3 linked regions of the Saccharomyces cerevisiae S288C genome follow. The gene in region 3 interacts genetically with the main gene of each other region. Each region holds a gene or a part of one and is shown on either strand. Other genes may lie near its edges.

What was found.
Region 1: mutations in DSF2 (region 3) and CRR1 together harm fitness more than expected from each alone (negative genetic interaction), as found in Saccharomyces cerevisiae (2 studies listed by BioGRID).
Region 2: mutations in DSF2 (region 3) and CAD1 together harm fitness more than expected from each alone (negative genetic interaction), as found in Saccharomyces cerevisiae (2 studies listed by BioGRID).

The regions. Positions count from the first base shown.
Region 1 is NC_001144.5:566,154-569,917, reverse strand, and holds CRR1 (putative glycosylase), read left to right. Parts: upstream 1-1,995; coding exon 1,996-3,264; downstream 3,265-3,764. Other genes in the region: FRE1 (ferric/cupric-chelate reductase), read right to left, coding at 1-1,351; TUB4 (gamma-tubulin), read left to right, coding at 3,637-3,764. UniProt on the Saccharomyces cerevisiae protein: Spore specific glycosidase involved in spore wall assembly during sporulation. May be involved in copper import.
Region 2 is NC_001136.10:1,317,395-1,321,066, reverse strand, and holds CAD1 (Cad1p), read left to right. Parts: upstream 1-1,791; coding exon 1,792-3,021; downstream 3,022-3,672. Other genes in the region: SNX41 (Snx41p), read right to left, coding at 1-1,003; DYN2 (dynein light chain), read left to right, coding at 1,226-1,250, 1,347-1,369, 1,450-1,680; SIP1 (Sip1p), read left to right, coding at 3,294-3,672. UniProt on the Saccharomyces cerevisiae protein: Transcription activator involved in oxidative stress response and cadmium resistance. Regulates the transcription of genes overrepresented for the function of stabilizing proteins including the inducible Hsp90-family protein HSP82.
Region 3 is NC_001134.8:248,306-253,055, reverse strand, and holds DSF2 (Dsf2p), read left to right. Parts: upstream 1-2,039; coding exon 2,040-4,250; downstream 4,251-4,750. Other genes in the region: FLR1 (Flr1p), read left to right, coding at 1-493; UGA2 (succinate-semialdehyde dehydrogenase (NAD(P)(+))), read right to left, coding at 4,553-4,750.

The sequences.
Region 1 (3,764 bases), on a different chromosome or scaffold from region 3:
GTGATAAGAAATACATGTATGCGAAAGCTCCTACTTGGTACTTGAAAAACTTTGGTTTTTTTACTGAAATTTTAATAACATTAGAATCATCAGTGGTACTCAAAGTAGCAGTTTTCAAGCCACCATTCATGATTATTCTAACAATCCTGCAGAATCTATCAAAGCATAAAATACCAGCCATTGACCAAATCCAACCCATCCAGCCCAGGGTGTGACAATGGTAGTACATGGCAATAATGAACATAATATTCATCGCTTTATGAATAAGAAGGAATATCTCATACCCTCTATTTCTAAATACTTTTTCACTTTGGAAAATAATAATAGACATTAATATCGTTGCCACTATACCCCACCTAAAGTAAAATTTCCTAACCAGACTTTGAAACACACCTCTTTTCACTCCCGAGGCGGTCATGACAATTGAGTGTACAACGGCCAACATGAAACAAACGTAGGCAGACCATTTATGATAGAAATTAAATGTAGAAAAGGAAAGCCCTGTTATAGGGATGAAGGGATTATTTCTTATTCCGAATAGATAGACTACTGGGAAAAGTGCAATGGCCATCAAGTCTGCTCTACGACTCACAAAGGCCATACTTCTTCTCCATCTGGGCCTATCATATGGGTGTGGAAGTTTAATATTATGACCAAAACTGAGAGATAATATAGTCAAAATAACAAAAATTAATACGACGAGACCCTTGCCTCGAGTTGTAAAATTAAATGGTAGACGCTTCCATAAATAAAAAGTTCGTTCATTATAATCTTTGTAAACAGAAGGATAAATAAGTGATTTTTTGACGGAGTTTGCCATGATGTTCTTACCAAACACCCTTTTCAGAATGTTCAAGATAGTGGCTGCAGTAAGCACAGCCACCCAGAAGAAGACGAGACCCCAAGCGCACCATTGAGAGCGCATTAGGTTAAGATGGATACCATAATTTTCCTCATAATAATAATGATACGCTGTCTCGTTCGCCATGAGCGGTTGACTAACCACGGTTTTTTTATCACTTTTCTCAGGTGCTCTCAAATAATTTGACGCATTTAAATAAATATTCTTCATGTCCTCTAAAGTATAAACTTTGATGCTTGAACATTGGGATGCTAACTTCATTAAGGCGCTGTCTAGTGTTTTGTTAGATTTGGAATTCTCATAGGCACATGCTGTCACTGAACCCAGCCAATTGATGTTTTTACAGTAGCAACTTTTAGATTTACTAGAACATCCAAATTGGTATAGCGCAGCTTGGGAAATACATGAAGTGCTAATAAGTGTAGCACTCGATTGAACCGTAGCAAAAAAAGATATAAATAAGCAGAATAATACACGGGTTCTAACCATATTGATCCGGCTCGTTCTTCCGTCGGCGTGAATATGCGAGAAATTAGATGATTATATTACCTTCCAAAAGGGAACTGAAGCATGGAAGAGAGCAAACGACTTCAAAACTGAGATTTTTACATGATTTAAGTATCCATCGCTGTAGATTAATCATCGCAAGATCAGGCACTTTAAGTTCCTTGAGAGAACGATCTAGCCTTGAGGATATTAGAAATTGGGTGTATTAGTAAATCAAAGTCGAGCCGCTATAACAATTTTCGATGAGCAAAAAAAAAAGGTGAGCAAAAATATCGGCGAAAATGTTTGGGTTGGGAGTAGATTCTCACCAAGATTGCCACAGTTAGTGTTCTTGGCAATTGCTGCAAACCCGTCAAGCAACCTAAATACATTTTTATCGGGTATTCTTCAACTATTGTACCGCTCTTTACTGTCAATTGCATCTGCCGTACTTTTCATTTACTTCTTATGTGCTCGTTCTACTATACTTTTAAAGGCGTCACAAAAATTATGTAAAGCCTCGCGACGATCATGTAGGAAAAAAAAAAAAAAGACAATACCAGCTAATAATTATCGATTAATAACGAAATACAAGAACAGTCGTTTAGTTTAGAGTATCATCAAGGGCTTTTGCACGAAATAAAAATATGAGAATATCAATATTACAGCTGGTGCCGGTTGTTGGCTACATCGGATTTGCACTGGGAGAATTATACAAACCCAAAAACTCCATTTCTTGTTCTCCAAATAACCCTTGTCCCGCAGAATGGCCGTGCTGCTCGCCGTATAATGAATGTGGCGCTGGACCGATATGTGTCGGTGGCTGCAACGTGAGGTCATCTTTCGACGAGGAAAGCTGTGCTCCTATACCTGCATTAGTCGCCAGTCAAAAACTTGAATTTGTTAGCACACCAAAGGTTCCTAAATTTATTGTGAACTATCAACCTAAGCCACCAATAAGAGAGGGAAATGGACCGAATAAGGCAAATACCAAGGTGGGTGTAGTAGAAGGGGAGCTAAATTCCAAGAGAATCATACACTACGCCAAATTCTTGGTCACTCCAGACAGTAAAGAGGCAGAGAAAATGTTGGAAGATTTCGATTTCACACATAGCGGCTACACATCAATTGAAGCGAGTAGCGGGAATATTGTTCTGGCTATGCCAAAAAAAACTACCGGAAGTTTGATCACATCGACCAGGTCGTTTCTATACGGCAAGGCAAGCGTGCGAATGAAAACGGCGAGGTCGAGGGGTGTGGTGACTGCATTTGACTTAACATCCGCAATTGGGGACGAGATTGATTTTGAGTGGCTGGGTGGTGATTTAATGACGGCCCAATCAAACTACTATTCTCAAGGGCATTTGGATTACACAAGAATGCAAAGATTTCCCGTAGGCGCTGACACTTGGGCCACTTACCACACTTATGAGATTGATTGGGACCCGGATAGGATAATATGGTATGTTGATGGTAAAATAGCTCGCACAGTCCTGAAGAAGGATACCTGGGACCCCATTAGTAAAGAATATAGGTACCCACAAACGCCGATGAGACTAGAAATCGCTGTTTGGCCAGGCGGCTCGGAAACCAACGGACCCGGTACAATAAACTGGGCAGGTGGCCTCATAGATTGGGAAAATTCACCCGATATTATCGAAAAGGGCCAATTTACGGCGCATGTTGAACAAATCACCGTAACGCCGTACCAAAATAAATTCACAGAACAAGTGCAGTTTTGTATAAAGGCAAAGAAAAAGGCACCAACCTTTTCCCAAAAAGATTTGTCAAGAGTAGTCGTTTCGTATAACAGGCAAGACAGACTGAATCATCATGATGAGGGGTCTCTCAAATGGGACTGCTTTGTTACTCCAAAGATAAATGACTGGTTGAGTTCTTGGAAACGGTCAAAATAGTCACAGCAATAATGTCTTACGAAGTTCTCTCTTCCGTAACGGATCCTCTAATTCCCTGCATGAAGGCACGCTCTAATATATATGTATACATTCTTTAGTTCAAACCTTTCAAGAAACACAAAATGCACCTATTTTCCGCATTGCAATTATTACTAATTTCCTAAAGCAAATATTTACTATTCTCCCATTATAACGTTCTCTCTTTGTTACCCTGACATTCAGAAAATATCACCGGGTAACAGAACGCGTTAATATTATCTTTTGGGAAATTTCATTAAATGTAATAAATAATAATCGTAACAGTAGCTGCGAAATGAACAAATGCGTAATATCGGTTAGTCACATGTATAAGAATTCAACATATAACTATCTATGGGTGGAGAAATTATTACTTTGCAAGCAGGTCAATGCGGGAACCACGTTGGTAAGTTTCTCTGGTCTCAATTGGCGAAAGAACACGCTATAGGCACCGATGGGCTATCTCAGCTTCCTGATTCCAG
Region 2 (3,672 bases), on a different chromosome or scaffold from region 3:
TATTTGATCTTATGTTTTTTAATAAATGGGTGATTATTCGCTTATAATTTTGGAATAAATTTTCAATATGTGTAAATTGAGATTCGTTTTGTAAAATTTCTGTTGGGAGGTTGGAAATTTCATTATGACTTTTTACTGTGATGTGTTGTTGCCAAATCGAATTATAGTTTCTCAGAGACGAGTTGGATGGAATAGGTAAAATAGAATGAAGGGGGCTTGGTTTTGTTGGGCTTAAAGGTGGAGCTAAAAGGTTATTCAAAGGTAGTATGATTATCGGCGACGAACTTAAAACATCTTTCCAATTAAATTCAGGGTTTAGAAATTTTTGAAAAACAATATCGTTGCTTATTTCTTGAATGTTCAGACAGTTAGACAAGAATGAATTGAGCATTTTCTTCCTGGTGGAGATAATTTTGGAATCATTTGCTGCGTTTATGGGACTCCATATGTATTTGAGAAGAGAATGCTTGGATGGAATGGGTGGAATAATTATCGTAGGAAGGAGTCTAGTTAGAGATTGCCTCAAAGAATGAAATTCAGAGTACCTTCTGATAATCTTGTTGTTTTCATATAGAATTACGTAACCGATAGCGTGTTTCCCCCATGGATCTTTGAAATCGCCGGCATCAATGATTTGGATCTGCTGTGTCCCATTCATATCGTGGGGAGTAAATTTGCTAATAGTAGCAGTAGTAGACATCGACAAGGAAACAAAAGGTTCAGTTTCCGCATCTGCTTCCACTACGGCATGAGAAGAGGTTGAAGATGACGTAGATGCTCTGGAAGAGCCAGCAGAAGAGGAATGTGCCGGGCTAGATGGCAAAGACGATGAAGAAGGGGGCGAATTTTCGTTCTCTGGGCGAGCTTCGCCGATAGTAGTCCCAATTCCAGAAGCATATAGGTGATGAGTGCCGACGAATGGATTATTATCTTCTTCTGAGAGATCCATGTCAGATGTGCTGCTTTGTTGTTCATGTACCGCCTCAAATATGTTGTAGTCCATTTTTTCTGTATGTGTAGTAGTATCCGTTGTTACTCACTACGTGTATAGATGTCTATTTATGTCTCTATCCCTTATCTCTTTATCTTGTTGCCTGGTTCTCTTTTCCCTTTAAATGGAGATTACAAACTAGCGAAACTGCAGAAAAGGAAAGCCTCCAAAACTACTGCCAGGGTAAAAAGTGAAACTGGGAAACGACATAAAGAAGAGCAAATTAAAACCAAAATGAGCGATGAAAATAAGAGTACGCGTATGTCAGTTAATCTCAGTCACAATTTTGTGACTTTCAATACAATTTTTCTTTACTAACTCGAGGAAGAGTGAGGTTTTCTTCCATGAATTGCAGCTATTGTTAAGGCGTCTGACATAGTATGTAATTGTGCCATGATATACATGTTTTGTGTGTGTACATTTGAATATATATATTTACTAACAAGGAGAAAACTTAGACCGACAAGCTGAAAGAGGATATTTTAACCATCAGTAAAGATGCTCTGGACAAGTACCAGTTGGAAAGAGACATTGCTGGGACGGTAAAGAAGCAATTGGATGTCAAATACGGCAATACCTGGCATGTGATTGTCGGAAAGAACTTTGGGAGCTACGTGACACACGAAAAGGGCCATTTTGTTTATTTCTATATCGGTCCACTGGCGTTTTTAGTTTTCAAAACAGCATAAATAGTGTTTCTTCAATAGTTAATCGATAATCAATTACTATTATACTTTCATACGAATGGGGTGTTACTTTTAAGGACGACATATAAGCAATGGAACGACCAGTTAAGATAAATGGGCAATATCCTTCGGAAAGGTCAGCAAATATATTTAGCAGGTGACATGAAGAAGCAAATGTTGCTAAATAAAGATGGAACACCTAAGAGGAAGGTGGGCAGACCAGGCAGAAAAAGGATTGACTCTGAAGCTAAGAGTAGGAGGACTGCCCAGAATAGGGCAGCTCAACGAGCGTTCCGAGATAGGAAAGAAGCCAAAATGAAGAGTTTGCAAGAGAGGGTAGAGTTACTAGAACAGAAAGATGCGCAGAATAAGACTACCACGGACTTTTTACTATGTTCTTTAAAAAGTTTACTGTCGGAAATTACAAAATATAGAGCTAAGAATTCTGATGATGAAAGAATATTAGCCTTCCTCGATGATCTGCAAGAACAACAGAAAAGGGAAAACGAAAAAGGAACAAGTACAGCAGTTAGCAAGGCTGCAAAGGAATTGCCATCGCCTAATTCAGATGAAAACATGACTGTGAACACAAGTATAGAAGTACAGCCGCACACTCAAGAGAATGAGAAAGTTATGTGGAACATAGGCTCATGGAACGCTCCCAGTTTAACCAATTCGTGGGATTCTCCCCCCGGAAATCGAACAGGTGCCGTTACCATCGGTGACGAAAGTATTAATGGTAGTGAAATGCCAGATTTCAGTCTCGATCTTGTCTCCAATGATAGACAGACTGGTCTAGAAGCTTTAGATTACGACATTCATAACTACTTTCCTCAGCACTCTGAACGCCTGACCGCTGAAAAAATAGATACGTCAGCATGTCAATGTGAAATTGACCAAAAGTATCTTCCATACGAGACAGAAGATGATACTTTATTCCCCAGCGTGCTTCCCCTTGCTGTAGGGAGCCAGTGTAATAATATTTGCAACCGCAAGTGTATCGGGACCAAACCATGTTCAAATAAGGAGATCAAATGCGACTTAATAACAAGCCACCTGTTGAATCAGAAATCTCTAGCTTCGGTGCTTCCGGTGGCTGCTTCTCATACTAAAACAATTCGAACCCAATCTGAAGCAATTGAACACATTAGCAGCGCCATATCGAATGGAAAAGCGTCTTGCTACCACATTCTCGAAGAGATCTCCTCCCTACCAAAATATTCATCGTTGGACATAGATGATTTATGCAGCGAATTAATAATCAAGGCAAAATGTACAGATGACTGCAAAATAGTAGTCAAAGCTCGCGACTTACAGAGTGCTCTGGTTAGACAGCTCCTGTAGCATATAAACATATCTTGAGTATACATAATGTTGGATGAGAGCATGTAATATTGATCGCTTTGTACGATGATTATACCTTTTTTGTCTTTTTACCATTGTCTCTGATGGAATACTATTGACAATTAACAATGGTAGATATATCCGATACAAGTGGATACCTACATAAACAAGGTGTCTTACCTAGTGTTTCTTTCATTTGCACTTCTTTTTTTGCGTGTGGACTGACATCTTGGAAAGTTGAACTGTCATATTATATAGTTGTTGCAGCCGCCATGGGAAACAGTCCTTCTACTCAGGATCCATCGCATTCAACCAAAAAGGAGCATGGACATCATTTTCATGATGCATTCAATAAAGATCGTCAGGGAAGCATAACCTCTCAACTGTTTAACAATAGGAAGAGTACTCATAAGAGACGCGCCAGTCATACTAGCGAACATAATGGTGCCATTCCCCCTAGAATGCAATTACTTGCATCTCACGATCCATCGACAGATTGTGATGGGCGCATGAGCAGTGATACTACTATCGATAAGGGCCCGTCCCATCTATTCAAAAAGGATTATTCTTTGTCCTCTGCCGCAGACGTAAATGACACTACGTTGGCCAATTTGACTTTAAGTGATGATCACGATGTGGGTGCACCCGAAG
Region 3 (4,750 bases):
AGGGTGCGTACTTGCTTATGGCTTATTCGGTATTTTAAACATGAGGATTATTGTACCACGTTTTAGAAACGGCACATTCACCCCGGAAGCTTTTTTAATCGTGGCAATGTGTGTCTGCTGGTGCCTGCCTCTGTCTTTGTTCTTATTTGGTTGGACTGCTCGAGTGCATTGGATTTTGCCAGTTATCTCGGAAGTTTTTTTTGTTTTAGCTGTCTTTAACATTTTCCAAGCAACTTTTGCATATTTGGCTACATGCTACCCAAAGTATGTTGCATCCGTTTTTGCAGGCAATGGTTTTTGTCGGGCTTCGTTTGCCTGTGCTTTTCCGTTGTTTGGTAGAGCAATGTATGACAATTTAGCTACTAAGAACTATCCTGTGGCATGGGGTTCGTCCTTAGTGGGGTTCCTAACTTTAGGTCTAGCTATTATCCCGTTTATACTTTATAAGTATGGGCCATCATTACGTACAAGATCTTCGTACACAGAGGAGTAGAAAGCCGATGTTCTTACCATGAAAATTTGAATTATAATAACACAATTTTACTTATCGTCCATCTGTCGACAAAGATGTTCCACATAAGTTTACGTAAAGTTTAGCAGTGAAATAAATACTGTTCATAATGAACTTCATTGTTTATAAAAGTTGTTGTTGCAAGTATTCTCATGTTTATTTATCGCAGACTTGAAATCTTTGAAGGAAGATCTAAGGTCTACACACTATCGGTTACTTTGTGACCCTTTGCTTACCATACGGATGAAAAAAGAAAGAGGAATTACTTGAGCCACAATATCCTTCACTCATATTTGAAAATAGTACTTACTAAAGAAATATGCAACCATTTATACACGTAAGAAGTTCAATTATCAAATAGAAATTAAGCAAAATACTCAATTGAATACAGAGCAAAAGGATTAGCCATACGTTCTAGCACATTTTATGGGCCTAAGACATCATTTCCAGTTAACAGATAATATATTTCTACATAAAAACTTGGCTGTTCCACTGTCAAAGCCAAAAAGAGTCATTTGGTCATGAGAGTAGCTATGTTTCTACGACGAATCGAAAAAAAATGCATACTATTGATATCAAAATCATGCAGAAGGAACACATATTCATATATAACTAATCAGAGGATAAATCCTCTTGCGAATAAAAAGTTTGCGATGTTCTGATGCTTCAGGATTTCCTCTTAATAAATTCATATTTGAAGAGCCAAAGAACCAAAAGAATTGTACAAATTTTCTTCATCTATGAGAGGCCTAAAGGTTCGGGTTTGCTGCTATGTATCCTTGCTAAATTTTGATTATATTATGGCATTTATCGCTATTGCGTTTGCTTGCTGTTGCGCAAAAAATAATACAAAATACCTGATAATGTAAACAACGTAAATAATACAGGAAGTGATGCAAGAGAAGCTGCACAAAACTGCAGCATGCCTCACTTCGAAAAAAAAAAAAAAAAGAAGGAAGTCAGAAGAAGCAAGCCGATCTAAGACAGCTATTACCTCTAACAAGTAAGTCATAGATCAGAACGGCAATACCAGCCAGTGTACAATACAGCTGCATTACAACATAGCGTTTCTTGAACTTTTAGGTGACTGCTGGAAAAAATGAACGCGTCTCATATCGTGTGCGATGGCAACACCGGATCCCTGCGCTCAGAACATTCCGTGGACACCCACTGTCACTTCTTCGAGCCCCACCATTCCTTTACGCAGCCTGCGTGTGTTTCTGCGCGTTAAAACAATTATCACAGAAGGCTCCGGACGAAGAGCGGCAGAAAGAACAACGGTGCAACCGTCGTTGAATTTGATTATCAAATCACCTTATCTGCCATCGTGTTCTAGTAGTCTTCCATTGTATTACCACGGACATTCAAAAATAGTTCTTCTTTAGCAACTCTTTTTTTCTGTTGCCATTGCTCTTTGCGATAGCACATTCTGTTCCTCAATGCTAAATATAGGTGGAACTTGTAGGAGCCTCGAGAAAAAACAGAAAATCTAGAAAAACAAACGGACTTTTACGTCACACGAAAAGTAATGAATCAAAATTTAAAAAACACTTCTTGGGCTGATCGAATAGGAAGCGACGATCAAGAAAGAAAAGCTAACTCTTCAGAGGTTTCACAAAGCCCACCACCCAATAATAGCTTCGAGTCATCAATGGATTCACAATTTAGCTATGCTCATTCAAATAAAAGTAGCATTTCATTCGAATCTATTCAAACCACGGAAAGACTTCTTGACAAATTAGACCTCAGCTTGGAAGATGAACTGATTCTGCAAGAAGCTTTATTAGAAGAAGAAAACGCGTCGAGAAATTCGCAACTGTCACAAACAAGTGGTCCAACATTATGTATGCCTGCGTCGGAATTCCCTTCATTAAGGTATAGAACTAATCCCTCTCCAACATATATACAAGCTAGAGATCGTTCTCTTATCATAGACAATTTAAAAGAAAAGGATTCCACTTTGAGAGGCAAATACTCTTCCGGTAAAGTGGAAAGGCATTTGCCCGTGAAGTCGAGATACTCTTATATCGTCGAAGAAGATTATGACTCTGAGACTTTTAGTGGCATGAAACCCCAAATGAATAGAAATGAGAAAGATTATAAGTACCCAAACCTTGAAAATGGCAATAGAAGCACAAATAGCCCTAATCCTTTCAACTTCGAGAAATATAGGATTGAAAATACTAGACTGCACCATCTTTATCCTACGCTGATATCAGACAATAATACTAGCGTTGACAATAATGCTAATAGTAAGAATAACAGAACTACTAGTAATAATATTAATACATCTACAAAAACTGACAGAATATCCGAGAAGCAGAGTTGCCCCAATGAGTTCACAACCACGCAAAAGAGTAATTGTCTTTATCGGAACGGAAGTTCAACAAGCACCAACACCTCCTTTTCTGAAGTTGGACAACTATCAAAGCCGAAAACTCAGTCTTCTTTTGAAAGTGAATCATCCTCATTCTCCAAACTCAAGTTAACTAAGAGTGATACAACACCCATCAAACCATCTCCTAAACGGTCTAATTCCTCTACCTCGACGATAACGAAAACAAATACCATGACAAATGATATTTCATTACCTCCAACGCCACCATATAAAGCTCATAAAAAAAAAACGTCACTAAATTCGCTAAAAAAACTTTTTAAATCTCCTAGGACAAGAGCAAAAAATAAGAAAGACCTTGAGTCTGAAGGATCAAGCCCTATCCGGTCTGCCACCAATTCATTGGACTTCTCTGGGGAGAATATTCAACTTCCATCTACTTCAAGTACCATTAATAATTCCAGTCCACATTTAGCTAGGTATATTTTTCCTCCAAACCCAGTTTTCCATTTTAAAACAGCATCAACACCTCAGTCATCCACGGATAAAAAAAAGAACAGTAAAGCACGTCCAAATAGGACTCATTTGAGAACTTTCTCGGATTTCCATACAACGGAAAAAGATTCAAAAATAGGTGAACTAAGTGCACTAACAGAACAATCAAATAAGCCCTACCACCCGAAAGTTAGAAGAAGAACACTTTCTTTAGATGGTATGTTGCCCAATAATTCGACGCAATGCATGGATTCCTTCAGTCATAAAAAAGAAGGATCGAACGCAACAAGCAAGTGCGGGAAGCTTAAATTTCACCCAGAACCTTATGATAATGATGAATCTTCACACATCGGACAGGCAATTACTATGCGTCATCAAGGCAAACTTGAAGAATCTGCACAACGACTGAAAAAAGCCTGCGCGTGCGGAAACAAAACTGCGTTTCTGTTATATGGACTAGCCCTGCGACATGGCTGCGGAGTGGACAAGAACTTGAAATTATCATTAGGATATTTAATGGCTGCCACTGATATCAAATCCTTTGCTGCTGAGGTTCTTGATTTAGATATAAATCCGTTAAATTTTGCTTCAATGGACGATATCCCTGATATAGCGCCTGAACCAACAGCACCTGCCTTGTACGAATGTGGTATGGCATATTTAAAGGGTCTTGGGATGGATCATCCCGACGAGCGAAAAGGTTTGAAATTTTTGGAAAAAGCTGCTCTATTAGGCCATGTAGACTCAATGTGCTTAAGCGGGACAATTTGGTCCAAAACTTCAAACGTAAAGAAAAGGGATCTCGCCAGAGCTGCTGCATGGTTTAGGATAGCCGATAAAAAAGGTGCAAATCTATTAGGTTCAGATTGGATTTATAAGGAAAAGTACATGAAACAAGGTCCGAAATAAAGATAAAGAAACGTTGTATACATAAAAGCTTACAGAAAGGCTTAAAAGGAAAGGCATTTATTTTCGTACCATATATCTCACAAAAATAGATAGATAGATAGATATGATATTTTATGAATGGTATCACTTATTCCGCTTGTGAAAAACTTCAAAACTCCGTAAATATATGAACTCTTTTCTTTCAAAAAATTTACTTAACTTTCTATATACGAGGAGTAGAGTATTTATACATGCAATAGATATATACAATCATTACAAAGAATCATATTCAATTCTAAGTATCGTCCACGATTACTATTGCTTTAAATGCTGTTTGGCAAATTCCCAATTGTGATGGTCTTCAAAACAGTGTAATCTTCAATACCATATAGCGAACCTTCTCTTCCAAATCCTGACTCTTTAACACCACCAAATGGTATAGAACAATCCGAAAAAACACCTGTATTACATGAAACCATACCAGTTTCCAAAGCTTCAGACACAGTGTATAAAGTGTTGAC